Callithrix jacchus: one gene and its partners. The protein of the gene in region 1 interacts with the protein of each later gene in a biochemical or structural test. Links are inferred from orthologs where the notes say so. Each region holds a gene or a part of one and is shown on either strand. Other genes may lie near its edges.

The links.
Region 2: the proteins of NR2F1 (region 1) and BCL11A form a complex in vitro, tested with the Homo sapiens proteins (2 studies listed by BioGRID). The link is inferred for Callithrix jacchus from reciprocal best matches to the Homo sapiens genes NR2F1 and BCL11A.
Region 3: the proteins of NR2F1 (region 1) and BCL11B form a complex in vitro, tested with the Homo sapiens proteins (2 studies listed by BioGRID). The link is inferred for Callithrix jacchus from reciprocal best matches to the Homo sapiens genes NR2F1 and BCL11B.

Annotation. Positions count from the first base shown.
Region 1 is NC_133503.1:117,066,605-117,073,424, reverse strand, and holds part of NR2F1 (COUP transcription factor 1), read left to right. Parts: intron 1-721; exon of another isoform or gene 722-817; coding exon of another isoform or gene 818-830; intron 831-1,505; coding exon 1,506-2,033; intron 2,034-6,820. UniProt on the Homo sapiens protein: Coup (chicken ovalbumin upstream promoter) transcription factor binds to the ovalbumin promoter and, in conjunction with another protein (S300-II) stimulates initiation of transcription. Binds to both direct repeats and palindromes of the 5'-AGGTCA-3' motif.
Region 2 is NC_133515.1:53,678,931-53,685,750, forward strand, and holds part of BCL11A (BCL11 transcription factor A), read left to right. Parts: intron 1-665; coding exon 666-2,686; 3' UTR 2,687-2,688; intron 2,689-6,820. UniProt on the Homo sapiens protein: Transcription factor. Associated with the BAF SWI/SNF chromatin remodeling complex. Binds to the 5'-TGACCA-3' sequence motif in regulatory regions of target genes, including a distal promoter of the HBG1 hemoglobin subunit gamma-1 gene.
Region 3 is NC_133509.1:134,118,022-134,124,841, reverse strand, and holds part of BCL11B (B-cell lymphoma/leukemia 11B), read left to right. Parts: intron 1-3,791; coding exon 3,792-4,004; intron 4,005-6,820. UniProt on the Homo sapiens protein: Key regulator of both differentiation and survival of T-lymphocytes during thymocyte development in mammals.

The DNA of each region.
Region 1 (6,820 bases):
ACACAACTTTTGATGTTGTATTTGGATCTGCTTCATGTTCATGTGGCAAGAGATGCAGTACTTTTCTTATAAATATATTTTGCCGTTTACAGTTAAAGTTTATCTCTTGACAATCATTAAAGATGTCTTATAGTCAAATTAGAGAACCAGTCAATTTTGCAGAATGCAGATTACTCTTTCTTGTAATTGACTTTAAAATTATATTTTATATGCCAGAAGAAAAGAAATTGAATTCCTTCAGATCTGAAGGAGCAGGCAAATATGACTACTTCATTTCTAGCTCCAGGGAGATTTTGCAGGCATCTGGAAAAAAAAAAAAAAAAAACTTTAAATTGTACTCTCACTTAATTGAAAAATAACTGCCAAGTTCAAAACTATAATTAGAAAAAAGTATTCTAGCCATTATGTTTCAAGAGCTTAAGTTGCACTGGAACTTGTATTAAAATTAGAATCAAAGCAAACTTAAGAAAATAGGGCAAAACCTGAAATAAGACAGCTACATGTACATGAACATAGCTGTATTAATTTGTTGGGGGGAGAGTTCAGTAGCCCTAACTTTTCCTAAAGTTGTCTTTGTTTACATGGCAATTTAAAACGCTGGCACTGTTGAAGTAAAACATACACATTAAAAAAAAAAAAAAAAAACTTTGGTCAGCTTTAAGAACTCAAAGCATGCTTACGTTTTGCATTCAGATGGTTAATGAATCCAGTGTTTTTGCAGTTGAAAGCTCGTGCATTCACTGGGCAAAAGCTGGCTGCAGGTTGCAGTGGCACCGCACAGGACAGACATTAATTATATTTCCCACTTTTTTCAATAATGTTTGGCTACTGTAAGTTCAATTTTTTTCTTGAAAATTTTCAATTTTCTGTTGCTTTTAATAGTGAGAACTTTGTATGAGGCGACGGGGAGGAGGGGAGAAGGGAGGGGTGCAGGATACTTGTTCTCTACTCAAAAGTTGTAAGTGGTTAGTAGGATATGCAACTTGTGTCTATTTTAAGAATCATTCTATAGCATTTTAAGAGAATATGGAAACATTTTATCAGCAAAACGCTCCTTGCTTGCAAATGAGGAGGCCTCTAGGCATTTGCCTAGAACCACAACCTTCCTCCGGTTTCGCCTTTTATTTAATCCCTGATTTTTTTTTTTTTTTTAATTCTGAAGGGGTGACTGAGGTTTCATTTATCTTAGTGTTCCTCCTTGGTGGCTTAGGGGTTGGGTGGCACTTTCTTGGCCTTGCCAGGGTGGGGACCCTGGAGTCAGGCCTAGTTCCGGCGGGGCTGAGGTGGCCAGGGGCTCAGGCGATGGACACATCGAGCTACGGAGCTGGAGGGCCTCACCCCAGATCTCCTCGCGGTGTGGACTGTGAGAGCGAGCCAGAGAAGATGCGCAGGGCGCGTGTGGCTGCGGGAAGAGCTTCTGCATTGTGTTGGGTACGCTGCGGCGCGGCAATGTTCGCAAGCCCCCTGGATGCACATTGCCTCTTTTCTCTCTTTCTTTTTGTCAGCGGTTCAGCGAGGAAGAATGCCTCCAACCCAGCCCAATCCAGGCCAGTACGCACTCACCAACGGGGACCCCCTCAACGGCCACTGCTACCTGTCCGGCTACATCTCGCTGCTGCTGCGCGCCGAGCCCTACCCCACGTCGCGCTACGGCAGCCAGTGCATGCAGCCCAACAACATTATGGGCATCGAGAACATCTGCGAGCTGGCCGCGCGCCTGCTCTTCAGCGCCGTCGAGTGGGCCCGCAACATCCCCTTCTTCCCGGATCTGCAGATCACCGACCAGGTGTCCCTGCTACGCCTCACCTGGAGCGAGCTGTTCGTGCTCAACGCGGCCCAGTGCTCTATGCCGCTGCACGTGGCGCCGCTGCTGGCCGCCGCCGGCCTGCACGCCTCGCCCATGTCCGCAGACCGCGTCGTGGCCTTCATGGACCACATCCGCATCTTCCAGGAGCAGGTGGAGAAGCTCAAGGCGCTGCACGTCGACTCGGCCGAGTACAGCTGCCTCAAAGCCATCGTGCTGTTCACGTCAGGTGAGGCTGCGGTCGCGGGGAGGGCAGGCCACGCTGCCGGCGAGCGCAGGCCCCGCGCCGCCCGGGCCTGGCCTTTGGAGGCTCCCGCGCGGCGGGTGCGGGGCGGGCCGGGCCCTAGCCGGACACTGAGCCTGGCCCGGGTCTGCGACCCTCGCGCGGGGACCGGCCAGCCGCGCAGCTGCCATCTTGGGAGCTCGGCGGTGCGGGAGCGGAGGCGGCGCGGGTGTGGCCGGCGGGCGACCGGGCCTAGTCGCCCGGACCCTTGAGTGGGACCGCGGCTGCCGCGGATGTGTGTCTGAGGCGGGCGGGGTGGGGGGGAGCAGTGCTGTGGATCTGCCTGGCTGCGCAAGTGAGCGGGTGTTCGTGTGTGTGTGTGTGTGTGTGTGGTTTGTGTTATGTGTGAGCCAGAGCTCAGCGTTTCTGGGGGAGGCGAGGGAAGGAAGAGAACGTGGGAATGTGGCTTCTTACCTTGTGTGGCAAGCTCCTTGGATGAGTTTCCCGACATAGGGAGACACAGAGAAAGGTGGAAAGAGAAGAATACGCACAAATAAATCGTAAATAATCCCGCTTTATTGCTGCCTGATTTTCCCTTATCGGAAACCATTCATGTTTGCAGTTGCTGAGGTTATTGAGGGTCGTAAAAACAGGATTCGATCTAAACAAGAAAGATAAAAAACAAAAGCAATACTATAGAACCCGCAAGTATAGGAGGATTCCCCACCTAGAGATGAATTACAAAGCTATGCAAAACACATAAACATTGGAAATTTAACAGAGTGCCTTAAAAAATATCAAATTATGTGTAGGCAGTGGTAACATGCATGTTAACAATTTCTCTTATGATAGATGGTTCAAATTAACTTCCAGGAAAGTGCATTAATGTTTCCTTTGAAGGGCTCTGGTCTGAGCCTCTGAGAACATTGCCCGCTTTTTATTATTGTAACCTGCAAGAGGGAAATATATAAACACCCAGGACAGCAGGTAATGGGGGGAAATAGAAACAAAGCCAGAGAGAAGGCTGCTTAGACTGGATCTTGGGCCCTGCCCACTGTGAGTAGGGTTAGCTGCAGTTTTACCACCATTATTGGCACTATTGTTTTTAATTCCTCCATTCAGAGAACAAATAAACCATCCTAATAAATCTATCCTGGAGCCAGGCTTTCCAATGGCCAAATTAAAACCATTCTTGAGCAGAGATGGCAAAATCCCTTTCCTAAGGCCTTGTTGAACAGTAAGCAACGGTATAATCTATCAATATTTCTTGGCTTTCATGCGTGAAGAATCGTATTTACATTGTATTAAAATGACTCTTAAATTTGCACAATATTGTAATGTAGCAAATGTAGTATTAATATCGATCTGAACAGCAGATAATTTATTTAGACAAGAGCATCTCATTTGTATGCAGGGTGGCCAGAGCCATGGACTTGGACTGCCCCCCTTTTACTTTCAGTGCAAATGCAGGTCTGCTAGTGAGAGAGGGAGTTATTCTTTCCAAGAGGATAAAGTGCAAACCTTAAAACAAATGGAAGATTTATGGAATAGCCTCCTTGGTGTTTGAATGCATTTTATCTTAATAAGTCTTCTTGATGGAAATGTGTTTTTCAAAAGTGACAAAGAGCCTGGGAAGCAGCAACCAGGCTGCTTCAGCTCTGGCAGGCCTGGGGCCTGGCTGGCTCTCTACTACCAGGCTCTTTAGCCAAATTCATCAGGAAGCAAGCCAGTGTCAGGGAAGCTGGGGTTTCAAAATCTCATCCAGCGAGGTGTCTTGAAGCAGAAATGTGACTTGGAACTGGACAGAAGTCCTCTCAGGAAAGGTCTCCCCTCTTTTTTCCTTACTCCCCCTAAGGTTCTTTGAATCCGCCTTGACTTTGTTAATCTCATGCCCTTTCCCAGAGAGTGGTGAGGACTGTGCAGGCTGCAGGGAAACATTGTGGAATTATTCATGCTTTTCTTTTAACTTTCCATCCTAAAACATTCCTGTGAAAAGTGTTCCTTTAAAAAGTTTTCCAAAGAAGTTTCTTGAATCAAGGCTTCAAGGTGCAAGGAGTGCCTAGAAATGAACAATAACATTATTTTGTTGGAAAATTGCAAGGAGAATATCTGAAAATGGAAATAGAGCTGTCAGTAGTAATTCACCCCCACCCCCCATGCAACACATTTCCACTTTTGACTAAACTTGTTTTGATTGCTAGCCAGAAGGGAATTCATGGGAAGCCTTCTCAAAGTCATCCAACTTTTAAGCAAACTTTGAATGATGGAAAAGACAGTTTTAGACATATTGTCCAATGTGGTTTGCTCTGGCTAAGTATTTGAAGCTGGCACCGGGGTCCCCCGTGGTGGTTTTCACATTTGGCCTCCGGATGGTATGTTTAATCCTTAATATTCTGGACTCCATCCAAGGACTAGGTCATGACCTGAACTTACTTTTTTAAAAAATTCATTAATTCATACATCTAAATATTCCTTCAAATAAATGAGACTTTCTCTGAAAGGAGCCATCTAGTTAACATAAATACAATAAATCCATTTTCAGCACAATAATAACTTTGATTTCTAGTTATAGCAGCTGATAACATCTATATTTCCTGAACACTAAACTCTTCTGAATGCACAACATGAAATATATTCTCTGCACTACAAAGACTAAGCCAGGAGGGCCTGAGCAGTAATGGTTATTTATTTACATAATTTCTTTTCCATATACTGTAGAAGAAATATTGAGAGTTCCCACATTGACACTACCATATAAAAAGTGTGACATGGATTTTGCACATTCTGCCTCATTTTCTTATCTGGAGTATAACTCATGGAGCATAAATATGTACTGCATTACACTCCCTGGTCACCTAGCTTTGTCACCACAACCCCCCAGTTGATCTGGGAACTCATACCTTCTGTCCACATTTGGGGGAATCCTGTTGCAAAGGGGTGAGAGAATATTCAGACTGGGAAGATAGGCCAGAACCAGGGCTCCTGACGAAGGGAAGCCACAGAGATGGCTGGCTGGTACCTGACAGGCAGGCCCAGCTACATACATTTGTCTCCAAAGGAGGGAAGAAATGGAAGCAGTCAGCACAGGGCCCAAGCAGGCTTTTCCTGGGCTTGTCTCTTTTGGAGCCGCCTGTTTGGGAGTCAGGAAATGACCTTGTGTTCTGGGGACCCTAATTGTAAATGTCAGATAGATATTTTACTGACCTGAGGGGATGCCAGATGGATCTTAAAAAAATTAATAATCTGCTGGGGTACCAAGGAGTCCTTTTCACATTGCATTGTCTGGGGCTCAGAATGATCCATAGCATCCAGGCAGATAATGCCTGTAAAGCAAGCTATATGTAAATATGGGTTTGTGTCTGAGTGAGGGTCATTCATCAGGGCCAGGTTAGCAAGCAGGGCCAAACTCAGGGTCCCCTCTCTAAGTAGCAAAGCCCCACGGAGCTCTTGCCACCCTGGCTCTGCTAGCCGTAAAGTCTCGTTTGGCTTCCCAAATCAGACCAGTGTGGATATACCCAATTGGCTGGCTGGAGTAATTAGACATCTGAGAGGAACCTAAGTCTGTATCTGAGGTCAAAGGGGACTTGCCTCAGAAGTTCTTGAATTATCACTAGTTTTATTTGTATTTTTGCTCGAGGCCATAGCCTTGTAGATGAAGGTGTTAGAATGCTTTGTAAATCCCAGTTCTTCAAATATAAGGACAGAAAGCTCAGAAACTCAGCAGACACATGTTTTGCTTTAAATCATTTGTTGTGTCTTCATAGGTTCACACTTGCCCATTCACAATTATACAATCTCATTTTGGGGGCATTGCCATGCATGAATTTTCTTCCTAGATCTATATATTAGCAAACTCTGCCTTTGATCTCTAGTCAACCTCCTGACTGGCTAAGGGCTCCTCTGTGATCTTCCTGTTTTTTAAAAAATATTTATTATTAATACAAGAAACAAGTGGGTATTTGAACTAGGAGAGGACACCTTTACTCCATTACTCCATTCCTCTTATTCCATCTTTCCCACCCTTTGCTTGCCTCTAGTTAGTTTATACAGTATAATCTGCTGTCCTGAAATATTTTTAGATGACCAAGACAGGCCTTGGTTAACATGAGATAAGCAAACAGATTTTGAGATGCTGTCATTGTGTGCGGGTGCATTTTTCTCTCTTGGTCCTGCCACCAAAAGCTTATCTCCCTCAGGTCCCCCTCAACTCCCCACCACCCACAACCCCCCCACCCCCCAGTTCTGAAGCAGCAGCAGCTGCTGCTTGTAGCCTAGCTTTGTCTGATCACTGAAGATGTCTCCTTTCTGCAGCCTGGAGTAACTGAGTCATATTCTTTCTGATTATTATACAGCTTACAGAGATGTGACCAATTTTCAATTACTTGATCCAAGGTATAGATAGAAGTGTACACCTTCACCGAGGATTTGCTGCAGAGCCCTTGCTTGCATAGATAGTGGATCTCAAATCCTATATTGCTAAAGCATGGGCTTCATCTGATTCCAGGCATTGCCAGCCCATGATTCCTTACCCCCTCCCATGTGTTTGTTCACTACACAATCTAGGTTCTCCTTGAGAATTCTGGTTGGGGTCATTTGGGTTTGACAGGACTCCAGGAATCCTTTAAGAACTGCCTTCAGGCTGCATATTTTTAAGGGGTACTGAACACCCCCAAATCAGAGGCAAAAGGAGCAAAAGTCCCCCCTTTAATGAGCACCGCCAGCAAGATGCTCCCCTGCAGGCCGAGGACAGGTTGTTATGCACAGCAAACATGGTTCCAGCATTGTACATTATT
Region 2 (6,820 bases), on another chromosome or scaffold:
GTGAGAATATTGCTAGTCTTTTTTCCATGGAAGTATTTTATGAGTACCCTCTCATTTTAACAATATCAACAATTAGTGTGTTTAAGGCTAAGGCTGAAAGCATCTCCAGGGCCGTAGGGCATTGTAGTGAATTGACCTTCTCCCCGTTTTTTGATGTCTCTCTGAAATGTTGCCTATTTAGAAAGTTCACCTGCCACGGAGGGGAGAATAGAAAGCTAGGATTTGGGAAGCCAAAAAGTTGCCTTGGGTCATCTTGTCCGTTTCTCACTTAATGAGGAGGAAATAGAGGCACATGGAGATGAGACGGCTTGCCCCACACTATGGCTGATGGGACTGGAAAGTTTAGAAGATAATTGTTGAGGTGCTTAGAATGTAGGGACCTTCATCCTCAAGCCAGGATTTTTCTGCTTTAGGGAACTGGCTATAAAATTCCTAGAACCGAGTTTAATGGCAGGGAGACTGGTTGGGCCAATATTTACTGGGTTCGCACGCTGCACACTCAGTTGTGCCAGGCACAATTTAGGCACAGGGCTAGGCCAGTGAGGGCTTAGGCCTTGGGGTTGAGGGGTGGGGGCAGGGAAGGCTGGAGGTGGAACATAAATAAGCAATTGCTGATACCCGCCTCAGTGATTAAACATTGATGTTGGTGTTGTATTATTTTGCAGGTAAAGATGAGCCCAGCAGCTACACATGTACAACTTGCAAACAGCCATTCACCAGTGCATGGTTTCTCTTGCAACACGCACAGAACACTCATGGATTAAGAATCTACTTAGAAAGCGAACACGGAAGTCCCCTGACCCCGCGGGTTGGTATCCCTTCAGGACTAGGTGCAGAATGTCCTTCCCAGCCACCTCTCCATGGGATTCATATTGCAGACAATAACCCCTTTAACCTGCTAAGAATACCAGGATCAGTATCGAGAGAGGCTTCCGGCCTGGCAGAAGGGCGCTTTCCACCCACTCCCCCCCTGTTTAGTCCACCACCGAGACATCACTTGGACCCCCACCGCATAGAGCGCCTGGGGGCAGAAGAGATGGCCCTGGCCACCCATCACCCGAGTGCCTTTGACAGGGTGCTGCGGTTGAATCCAATGGCTATGGAGCCTCCCGCCATGGATTTCTCTAGGAGACTTAGAGAGCTGGCAGGGAACACGTCTAGCCCACCGCTGTCCCCAGGCCGGCCCAGCCCTATGCAAAGGTTACTGCAACCATTCCAGCCAGGTAGCAAGCCACCCTTCCTGGCGACGCCCCCCCTCCCTCCTCTGCAATCCGCCCCTCCTCCCTCCCAGCCCCCCGTCAAGTCCAAGTCATGCGAGTTCTGCGGCAAGACGTTCAAATTTCAGAGCAACCTGGTGGTGCACCGGCGCAGCCACACAGGCGAGAAGCCCTACAAGTGCAACCTGTGCGACCACGCGTGCACCCAGGCCAGCAAGCTGAAGCGCCACATGAAGACGCACATGCACAAGTCGTCCCCCATGACAGTCAAGTCCGACGACGGTCTCTCCACCGCCAGCTCCCCGGAACCCGGCACCAGCGACCTGGTGGGCAGCGCCAGCAGCGCGCTCAAGTCCGTGGTGGCCAAGTTCAAGAGCGAGAACGACCCCAACCTGATCCCGGAGAACGGGGACGAGGAGGAAGAGGAGGACGACGAGGAAGAGGAAGAAGAGGAGGAAGAGGAGGAGGAGGAGCTGACAGAGAGCGAGAGGGTGGACTACGGCTTCGGGCTGAGCCTGGAGGCAGCGCGCCACCACGAGAACAGCTCGCGGGGCGCGGTGGTGGGCGTGGGCGACGAGAGCCGTGCCCTGCCCGACGTCATGCAGGGCATGGTGCTCAGCTCCATGCAGCACTTCAGCGAGGCCTTCCACCAGGTCCTGGGCGAGAAGCATAAGCGCGGCCACCTGGCCGAGGCTGAGGGCCACAGGGACACTTGTGACGAAGACTCGGTGGCCGGCGAGTCGGACCGCATAGACGATGGCACTGTTAACGGCCGCGGCTGCTCCCCGGGAGAGTCGGCCTCGGGGGGCCTGTCCAAAAAGCTGCTGCTGGGCAGCCCCAGCTCGCTGAGCCCCTTCTCTAAGCGCATCAAGCTCGAGAAGGAGTTCGACCTGCCCCCGGCCGCGATGCCCAACACGGAAAACGTGTACTCGCAGTGGCTCGCCGGCTACGCGGCCTCCAGGCAGCTCAAAGATCCCTTCCTTAGCTTCGGAGACTCCAGACAATCGCCTTTTGCCTCCTCGTCGGAGCACTCCTCGGAGAACGGGAGCTTGCGCTTCTCCACGCCGCCCGGGGAGCTGGACGGAGGGATCTCGGGGCGCAGCGGCACGGGAAGTGGAGGGAGCACGCCCCATATTAGTGGTCCGGGCCCGGGCAGGCCCAGCTCAAAAGAGGGCAGACGCAGCGACACTTGTGAGTACTGTGGGAAAGTCTTCAAGAACTGTAGCAATCTCACTGTCCACAGGAGAAGCCACACGGGCGAAAGGCCTTATAAATGCGAGCTGTGCAACTATGCCTGTGCCCAGAGTAGCAAGCTCACCAGGCACATGAAAACGCATGGCCAGGTGGGGAAGGACGTTTACAAATGTGAAATTTGTAAGATGCCTTTTAGCGTGTACAGTACCCTGGAGAAACACATGAAAAAATGGCACAGTGATCGAGTGTTGAATAATGATATAAAAACTGAATAGAGGTATATTAATACCCCTCCCTCACTCCCACCTGACACCCCCTTTTTCACCACTCCCCTTCCCCATCGCCCTCCAGCCCCACTCCCTGTAGGATTTTTTTCTAGTCCCATGTGATTTAAACAAACAAACAAACAAACAAACAGAAGTAATGAAGCTAAGAATATGAGAGTGCTTGTCACCAGCACACCTGTTTTTTTTTCTTTTTCTTCTTTTTTCTTTTTCCTTTTTTTTTTTCCTTTATGTTCTCACCGTTTGAATGCATGATCTGTATGGGGCAATACTATTGCATTTTACGCAAACTTTGAGCCTTTCTCTTGTGCAATAATTTACATGTTGTGTATGTTTTTTTTTAAACTTAGACAGCATGTATGGTATGTTATGGCTATTTTAAATTGTCCCTAATTCGTTGCTGAGCAAACATGTTGCTGTTTCCAGTTCCGTTCTGAGAGAAAAAGAGAGAGAGAGAGAAAAAGACCATGCTGCATACATTCTGTAAAACATATCATGTACAGTTTTATTTTATAACGTGGAGGAAAAACAGTCTTTGGATTAACCCTTTATAGACAGAATAGATAGCGCTGAAAAAAATCTCTATGAGCTAAATATCTGTCTCTAAAGGGTTAAATGTATCAATTAGAGAGGAAAAAAAGGCCTTGAATTGACAAATTAACAACAACAAAAAAACAAGTTTATTCTATCATTTGGTTTTAAAATATGAGTGCCTTGGATCTATTAAAACCACATTGATGGTTCTTTCTACGTGTTATAAACTTGTAGCTTAATTCAGCATTGGGTGAGGTAATAAACCTTAGGAACTAGCATATAATTCTATATTGTATTTCTCACAACAATGGCTACCTAAAACTATGACCCATTATGTCCTAGTTAATCATCATTTTCCTTTAGTTTAATTTTATAAACAAAACTGATTATACCAGTATAAAAGCTACTTTGCTCCTGGTGAGAGCTTAAAAGAAATGGGCTGTTTTGCCCAAAGTTGTATTTTTTTTAAACAATGATTAAAATTGAATGTGTAATGTGCAAAAGCCCTGGAACACAATTCAATACATTAGTAAGGAGTTCATTTTGTGAAGATATTTGCTTTAATAATGTCTTTTAAAAAAATTCTGGCACCAAAAGAAATAGATCCAGATCTACTTGGTTGTCAAGTGGACAATCAAATGAGAAACTTTAAGATCTTGTATACCATATTGAAAAGAAGAGGCTGACAATAAGATTTGACAAAGGGAACAGAAGAAAAAAATACGATTTATTAGCACAACGTGGTACTGTTTGCCATTTAAAACTAGAACAGGTATATAAGCTAATATTGATATAATGATGATTAACTATGAATTCTTAAGACTTGCATTTAAATGTGACATTCTTAAAGAAAGAAGAGAAAGAATTTTTAAGAGTAGCAGTATATATGTCTGTGCTCCCTAAAAGTTGTACTTCATTTCTTTTCCATACACTGTGTGCTATTTGTGTTAACATGGAAGAGGATTCATTGTTTTTATTTTATTTTTTATTTTTTTATTTTTTTATTAAGCTAGCATCTGCCCCAGTTGGTGTTCAAATAGCACTTGACTCTGCCTGTGATATCTGTATCTTTTCTCTAATCAGAGATACAGAGGTTGAGTATAAAATAAACCTGCTCAGATAGGACAATTAAGTGCACTGTACAATTTTCCCAGTTTACAGGTCTATACTTAAGGGAAAAGTTGCAAGAATGCTGAAAAAAAAAAAATTGAACACAATCTCATTGATGAGCATTTTTAAAAAACTAAAAAAAAAAACCTTTGCCAGCCATTTACTTGACTATTGAGCTTACTTACTTGGACGCAACATTGCAAGCGCTGTGAATGGAAACAGAATACACTTAACATAGAAATGAATGATTGCTTTCGCTTCTACAGTGCAAGGATTTTTTTGTACAAAACTTTTTTAAATATAAATGTTAAGAAAAAAATTTTTTAAAAAAAACACTTCATTATGTTTAGGGGGGAACTGCATTTTAGGGTTCCATTGTCTTGGTGGTGTTACAAGACTTGTTATCCATTTAAAAATGGTAGTGGAAATTCTATGCCTTGGATACACACCGCTCTTCAGGTTGTAAAAAAAAAAAAACATACATTGGGGAAAGGTTTAAGATTATATAGTACTTAAATATAGGAAAATGCACACTTCATGTTGATTCCTATGCTAAAATACATTTATGGTCTTTTTTCTGTATTTCTAGAATGGTATTTGAATTAAATGTTCATCTAGTGTTAGGCACTATAGTATTTATATTGAAGCTTGTATTTTTAACTGTTGCTTGTTCTCTTAAAAGGTATCAATGTACCTTTTTTGGTAGTGGAAAAAAAAAAGACAGGCTGCCACAGTATATTTTTTTAATTTGGCAGGATAATATAGTGCAAATTATTTGTATGCTTCAAAAAAAAAAGAGAGAAACAAAAAAGTGTGACATTACAGACGAGAAGCCATATAATGGCGGTTTGGGGGAGCCTGCTAGAATGTCACATGGATGACTGTCATAGGGGTTGTACATATCCTTTTTTGTTCCTTTTTCCTGCTGCCATACTGTATGCAGTACTGCAAGCTAATAACGTTGGTTTGTTATGTAGTGTGCTTTTTGTCCCTTTCCTTCTATCACCCTACATTCCAGCATCTTACCTTCATATGCAGTAAAAGAAAGAAAGAAAAAAAAGGAAAAAAAAAAAAAACCAATGTTTTGCAGTTTTTTTCATTGCCAAAAACTAAATGGTGCTTTATATTTAGATTGGAAAGAATTTCATATGCAAAGCATATTAAAGAGAAAGCCCGCTTTAGTCAATACTTTTTTGTAAATGGCAATGCAGAATATTTTGTTATTGGCCTTTTCTATTCCTGTAATGAAAGCTGTTTGTCGTAACTTGAAATTTTATCTTTTACTATGGGAGTCACTATTTATTATTGCTTATGTGCCCTGTTCAAAACAGAGGCACTTAATTTGATCTTTTATTTTTCTTTGTTTTTATTTTTTTTTTTTATTTAGATGACCAAAGGTCATTACAACCTGGCTTTTTATTGTATTTGTTTCTGGTCTTTGTTAAGTTCTATTGGAAAAACCACTGTCTGTGTTTTTTTGGCAGTTGTCTGCATTAACCTGTTCATACACCCATTTTGTCCCTTTATTGAAAAAAATAAAAAAAAATTAAAGTACACATTGTAAGCTTCTTGTGTCCTCATTTGACACACTCTGTAAATTACTTTCAAGAAAATAACAGGTTTTAAGAGAAGGCCAGTCAGTCTTTTTCAGGATTATTTCTATGGGCATTCTGATGCGTGTATTATACCCTAAAGGAACATTAAGTACTTACTATATTAAAATAGACATACCTCAACCCATGGAAATAGTTTTAAGGCTTTACAGTTCTAGAATAATTTTCAAGATATGGAAAGTGTTTTCAGTCTGATGTTAAAAACTTACTCCATCTCTTAGCAGAAATCCATTCAAATATAAGTGAAAAAACTTGCTGGTAATAGCATCTTAAATTTTTATTTCCTTTGGATTTTTTGCTGTTCTTGTTGTCTAAAAGTTCTTTTCTACTCTCCCATCCTTGCCTTATAATATAATGTAAAAATGATTTTTAAAAAAAAAATCATCTGTTTAGTTTCCATGTAAGACTCTTTCCTTGTAACAAAATAATCCCACTTTTCAAATCTAAAAATCTGGAAACAAAGGCATCAGGTAACAAACATAAAAATAAAAAAAGAGGGAGAAAAAGAGAGAGAAAGAGAGAGAAAAAAGCAGCCACTAGGGGTTCAGCCAGACAAGCCAGACATAGTGAAGTCTTTAGAATCAGCCACTGATTTCCTGAGATGCATAGTGGTTTGCCTTGTGGTTCTGAGATCCCAGGGACCCTAGACGCTACAAATTACTTCAGGTGTTTTGATAGGGTCTTCCTGGCTGACTGCAAATAAGGGTGGGAATACCCTTCAGTTACCTTTTGACCAGCCAGTTGGGTCTATTTAAAAAACCATTCCTTAGAAATCTGTGTTGTTAGTTTTACAAATACTGCATGTTGCAGCATCTATTTGCTTGACTAAAACATACCTCTGTGATATCGTCTCCCTGTACCCAGTGTA
Region 3 (6,820 bases), on another chromosome or scaffold:
ACTTGTGAGAATTAATGTCTTGGCATGGGGGGAGGGGGCGCAGGGACTGTCAGGTTCCCTTGCCAGTGTCCCTCACTCATGCGCCTGCCTCCCTGGCTGTCTCCTCCCTTGATCTATGACTCATTTCTGCACTATCGGTAGGAGTTCTCTGCTTAAAAAAATGTAGCAATTGAAAGGCACCAGTAGGGAGAAAAACACATGTCTCCTGCACAGTGTATTCCTGACCACCTCTCTCTAGCTCGGAACGTGGAATCTGTAATCCTCCCATTTGGGAGGGGATGCTCCAGAGGCTTCAGGGGGTGGGGAAGGCTTGAAATCCCCCCCAAACCGGGCTGGGGCTTTTCCAGGCGTTTTTGTGTCTCCACACTCCTGGGCGGTGGGCGTGTTCGCTGGGTGAGTGCGCATGTGTGAGGAACGGAGCAGGAGCATCTGCAAAGTCCCTCTAGAAGAGAGAAGGGTGACAGACCCCTGTGGAATGCTTAAACCCAAGAAGGCATCAAGAATGAGCTTCTGTATCATTGCCCTGTTTTGGAGCCAAAGAAGCATTTTAGGGGCCTTGTTTTTAAACTTTTTTTGTGTGTGCGTAGACCTCCAAAGAAAGCGTTCTTTTTGGAGTGTCTTGCAGGTCTTTGTAGTGGGCTTTGCTGTGTTCAGAGCACACCCTCTTGCTTTCTTTGCTGGGCAGTGCTGGTGCCTTGGAAAGGACCATAGGGAGTGGGGCAGGTATCGGAATGGAAAGTGAGAGAAGGATGGTGACCCTTTGCTGCGTGCTTCCTCTGTCCCTGGCTCTGACCCTTCCTTTAAAGCTGAGGGAGCTGAGGCTCTGAGAAAGTGACTCACCTTCAACCAGGAGGCCAGGAGACGGCTGAGGAGGAATTCGAATCCAGGCCTCTCGGTCCTGAAGGCTGTATGGCGTGGGAGCTCTGGTGGCTTCCTCTGTGCACGTGTGGCTGCACACCCTGTCCCCAGGCCTCAAGCGCTCCTTAAGTGCTTTCTGGATTTCCCAGCTGCACTTTTAAAGGCAGATACCCCTCCTCTGAGGAAGGATGGGGGCTAGGAGGTAGGCTGGGACAGGTACTGAGGCTGTTTTTCCAAGTTAAGAGTCACGTGATGTAAAGTTGACCATTTTAAATTGTACACTCACAATGTCATGCAGCTGTCACTCCTAAGTCCCGAGAATTTTCATCACCCCCCAAAGAGACTCTGTACCCACTAGCCTCCCTTCTTGCCCCTCCTGGCTCCCTAGCCCCTGGCAACCGCTACTTTCTGTGTCCATGGATTGGCGGCTTCTGAACATTTCATATCTGTGGAATCATGCAGTATGTGGGTCCTTTCATCACTTTGGCTTTTGCAATAGTTTCAGATTTCTTGAGTTCCACCTTTGGGCAGGGCTCTGGGTTTAAGCTGCCCCATGGGGAAACCTCTCCCAGGGTAGAAGGTGCTCTGAGAGCCCCAGAGAAGCCCCGAAGAGCTTGGGATTTGAAGCCCCTCTCCAGGTTGCCCCCCTCCCCTCAGCCTCAGTTGAGCTGGCCCCTGGAGCAGGTCGACTTCAGGAAGGTCAGAATTCCTAATGAGGCCCTGGGGAACCTGTCCAGGGCGGCCCAGCCCCCGACCCCTATGCAGGGCGCATCTCGTGGTGTGTGACATCGCCTTTACAGACCCTGGCTTGAGCCCCACCTTGGACCTTTCCATGAGAAGGGTGTGGCCAGTTGCCTGTTTTCTAGCTGCTCTCCAACTGTTCCTCCCGCCACGGACACAGAGTCAGCTCCTTAGCACCTGGGACAACCTTACCAGGCCTCGAGGTGCTTCTGCCGGTTTCTCCATCATGATAAATGGTGCTGGCTGTGTCATGGCCTCACACAGAACCCAGGAACCGGAGCTTGGGTTTGGCCTTTGCAGCTACCAATGGCGGGATTGAGCCCAGGATCTCAGTCCTCCTCCCCTGACTATAGATCCTACGAGCCCTGGTCCCTTCACTCCATTCACTGCAGCCCTAGAGGGAAGCAGAGCATTGCGGGCTCTGGAGACACAGCTGGGTTCCAGTCTCAGATATCCCCGAGCCTCAGTTTCCCCACCACAGAATGTGGATGTTTGCTGAGCGAAGTGGCTGTCATGATGATGGATGTCCTCAGTGGTCTGCAGGGAAGGCCCACATAGGGATTTGAGACCACCAGTGGACAGGAGCACAGGCAGCGTGCAGGCCAGGGAGGTTCAGGTCAGGGCAGGCTTCCAGGAGGGGGCAGGTGCTGACCTTCCTTGAGGAACGGCACTAAATCTAGGACATGGCCTTCCCATCAGCATCTGAGACTGAAACGGTTTACAGGTTCCTCAGCCATGTCCTCCAAGGGCTAACCCTAGCTCAGAAACACCCTGGGCCCTAGGCCTAACCTAATATGGGGTCTTCGGTAGCCCAGAGGGGTCCGAGCAGTGTTGGCGTTAGCTTTGACCTCTTGACGGGACACTGGCAGTTGGCAGTCCCTAAGCAGGGGGTCTTGTTCAATGCCCCAGTGCCTCAATCCTGGATAACCCATGTTTCAGAGAAACCAGGGTACAGAGAAAGAGCCCTGGTTCTGGGGCCAGACAGCTGGGGTTTGGATGAGCTGCTGATGTCTGCAGTTTTCTGCAGTCACGCCAGCCTGTGCAATGGGTATCCTAAGCCCCACCCCCCGTGAGTGTGTTAGGAAGTTCAGTTCAATGAAGACTGACAGGCTCCTGGCTCACGGTGGCTCACAGGCCCCTGTGGCTCTCCTTGGGCTGGGGGGATCCATGTGGGGGCCCTGGAGTGGGCAGACCCCCAGCCGTGCAGACCTGTGCTGGGCCTCCCTGCCGGAGCTGGCTGGGCCCAGCTGCCCGTCCTCTTGTTGATGTTTCCTTTCTGTCTCTCTGATGCTTTCCTGTTCAATTATTTGCCCAGGGAATTTGGGCTTCTTCACTTGTGGTTTTGGCAAGGGCTTCACACAAATGTTTTGCCCTGGTGGTCTCTTAGCCATTTAAGATAAACGGCTAAATCAAACGCAGGCCTTGCCAGGGAGCTGAGCGAGCTGTGGGGTTGGGCAGAGGCGGGGCCGACCCTGGCCCTGCGTCCTCGCTCTGTCACATGGCGGGAGGCCTCCCAAGCCAGGCTGAGATGTTAGGAGTGGCTGAGCAGCGCCAGGGTTTTCTTGGGGTGTTGTGGGGGTGAAAAAGCCTTCTGAAGGGCTTTGGGGCTGGGGTGCACATGCTTGGTGCTTGGGGCTGAAGAGAGCCCCTGCAGGTAGTCTGCAAGCCGGGAGACTCTTAGTGCTCAGACACCTGGAGGCAGGCCGAGCTGTCCCTGGCCTGTACGAGCAACCCATCCTGCAACCCATCAGCAACACAGGGGAGGTGCTGAGCTACCCAGCTCTTCCAGGGAGGGGTAGCCCGAAGTTTTGGAAACAGATCCCCAAATGGAACCTGCTTGATTGCTCCAGAAGCCCCCACGTCAGGGGTCCTTCCTGAGAGCGGGGCCCTCACAGCCCCCATTCACCCAGCCCCCTGCACAAGGCCCCCAGAGATGGGGTCCTGCCTCCTCAACAGCCCAGCCTGGCAGCTGTGGAAACAGGGCCCTTCCCAGAGCCCCCTGTCCACCTCCCCATGCCCATTCCCCTGCCTGTGTCCCGATTGCTTTCCCTGCAGTGCCTGGCACCCCTGGGGCCTCCCACCCCTGAAGGGTGGCCTGAGCCGAGCCCCGCGCCCCGGGCCCCGTCCCACCCCGTGCCCCTCACTTGGTCCAGGGCCCGACTGACCAGTCTTTTCTATTGTTTTTTCTCCAGGGCCGTGCAGGCCTGCCCAGCTGCCAGCGGTGGCCCCCATAACCGCCTCCTCCCACCCTCACTCATCCGTGATCACTTCACCTCTGCGGGCCCTGGGCGCTCTCCCGCCCTGCCTCCCCCTGCCGTGCTGCAGCGCGCGCCCGGTCTCGGGTGACGGGACTCAGGGTGAGGGTCAGACGGAGGCTCCCTTTGGATGCCAGTGTCAGTTGTCAGGTAACAGACGACGCGGTGGTGGGGGGTGGGCCCCCGGGGATGGCGGGGTGTGCCGTGGGCAGTGCTGGAGCAAGGTGGGGGCCCAGGGAGGAAGGGCAGCTCCCACCCAGAAGGCTTTTTGGGGTGCCAGGGGAAGTGGTGAAGAATGTTCACTGAACTACGAGCCAGTGCCCAGTGCCCCATGGCAAGAGTCCCCACCGTGCCCCCACCCGTTCTGAGAGTCTTGTTCCCAGAATGCATCCCTAGCCTCCCAATCCCGTTCTTTGGGTTGGATAACACTTAATCGTATAACACTTAACATCTGAGGTTTTCTTCTGCCCTTGCCACTGCCACCCCTTCCCCCACCCCAGACAACCCCCTGCCCTGCCAAGACAAGGCTAGGGGAGGATTCCTTGCTTGTCTGTGTACATTGCTGGAGCCATCCAAAATGCTGAGTTTCTCTTTGGGAGAATGTGTTGCCCATTAACTTTGAAAAAGAAAGTGGCTCAAAAGGAGCCTCCTACAAAGCTGCGGCCACGAGAGGGAGTGAAACCCTGTGGGGTGTGTGAGGGGCAGGGGTGGGGGCTGAGTTCCTGCTGTGCGTCCAGCTCTGGGCCAGATTCAGACACAGCTGTGTTTGTGCCTACTCGTCCTGCTTTCCTGGGAGGGCGGTGTCACTGCCTATTCTACAGATGGGCAGACAGGGCAGGTTGGCGACACAACACTGTCCTCCTCTATGTGCTCTGCCTCTCCCCAGGTGGAACCCAAGATCTTGCTCCACCTAGGGGTCTCTGGGAATTCTTGGGGTCCCTGGGAAGTCAGAGGCAAAGGGCCCTCTCACAAGTCTGTCTCCACAGCGTCTCAGCAGGGCCTGGTGTGAAAGTGCTGTGGCCACACAAGCCAGGATGCTGACACAGACACACGTGGCAATCGGCTGTGGCCTGGTTGCTGTGGCAGGGGCAGGAAAGGAGAGAGGGTGGGTGCAGAGCTGGGGCAGATTTGATTGGTCCCTGCTTTGTCACCAGGCATGGTGCAGGCTTTCTCTTGACTTGAGTTGTGAAAGGAAAACTATTTTTATTGGGCAGCTTTTGCTTTGAATTGAAGCTGTCCCCAGGGACAGTCCCTGTTGGAGCCATAGCTCTGCAGAAGGCCGCAGGCAGCCCCTGCTCCAGGGTCCAGAGCTCCCTGGGCGCCAGAGCTCCCTAGTAGGGTGGCCTGGAGCCTTTAGTATACCCTCCCTGCTGTGACAGGTGGTGACATTATAGGATCTGGCTTCCAAGAGGGAGTTCTGGCTTCTTACTGGGCTTGTGCCTTAAATGCACAAAGCAAAACCCAAAATCTCCAGGGAAGGAATCAGAACCACTTGCAAAGACGCCGTCTCCCCGTTCTAGGCTGTGCTGGTCCCCAGGTGCTCAGGCCTCCCGTCCTGGCTCAGTAAATCTGTTCTGAGTCTGCAGAAGGCCCTGCTTGCTGAGCAAGGGGTGCCTGCTTCTTCTGGGTGGTTGCCCTGTTCTCACGGCTTCCTGTCATTAGTGTTGCAGCCTCCGCAGCCACTGGGGGGGCCGTGCTATCAAAGATCAACCTGAGTGTTTATTACTGGACTTGGTCAAGTTCTGCGGCAGCACAGAAATCTGATCTCATCAGAGGCTTACCCAGGGCTTTGCTTAACCCTCTGCTGGCCCTGCTGAGATGCTGCCGAAGTAGATGAGACTCAGCTAGAGGACTGAGCCCCTCCCTCAAGTGGCCAGGCCCACTTTGCATCTTTGTATGGTGCTGAGCAGGAGCTGTTATCATCCCCATTCTGCAGATGGAGAAGCAAGGCCTTGGGGAGGGAGAGTGGCTTGCCAGGGTGGCAGAGCTGGGATTTGTCCTTGGGTGCCTTCTGAAAGGCCACCCCTCTTTCCATGGAACCATGCTGCCTCTGCCCACATCCATGGGAGGTCAAATGAACTTTCCACTGCCTTGGCTCTGGTGGACTCTGCCAACAGCAAGTCCTCATACGTGCCACTGGGATCCTCATGAGGACTGTGTGTGGAGGGCCTTCTATGTGCTGTACGGTGCTGGGCATTTGTGTGCTTTCTGGAATTTAATCCTCACAGCAACCTAATGCTTTACTCTCCTCATTTTACAGATGAGAAAATAATGCTTGGAAATGTTGAGGTCTCACAGCTCACATCCATCCATCTGTCCATCCATCCGTCCATCCATCCATCCATCCATCCACCCACCCACCCACCCACCCACCCATCCATTCATCCATCCGTCCATCCATCCGTCCATCCATCCATTCATCCATCTGTCCATCCATCCACCCACCCATCCATTCATCGATCCGTCCATCTACCCATCCATCCATCCATCCACCCACCCATCCATTCATCCATCCATCCGTCCATCCATCCATTCATCCATCTGTCCATCCATCCACCCACCCATCCATTCATCGATCCGTCCATCTACCCATCCATCCATCCATCCACCCACCCATCCATTCATCCATCCATCCGTCCGTCCATCCGTCCATCCGTCCATCCATCCATCCACTCATCCATTCATCTGTCTTTCCATCTGTCCATCCATCCATTTGTCCATCCATCCACCCACCCATCCATTCATCGATCCGTCCATCTACCCATCCATCCATCCATCCACCCACCCATCCATTCATCTGTCTTTCCATCTGTCCATCCATCCATTCATCCATCCATCCATCCATCCAGCCTTTGTTCATCTGTCCGTCCGTCTATCCATCCATCCATCCATCCATCCATCCATCCATCCATCCGTCCGTCCGTCTATCTGTCCATCCATCCATCCATCCATCCATACAGCCTTTG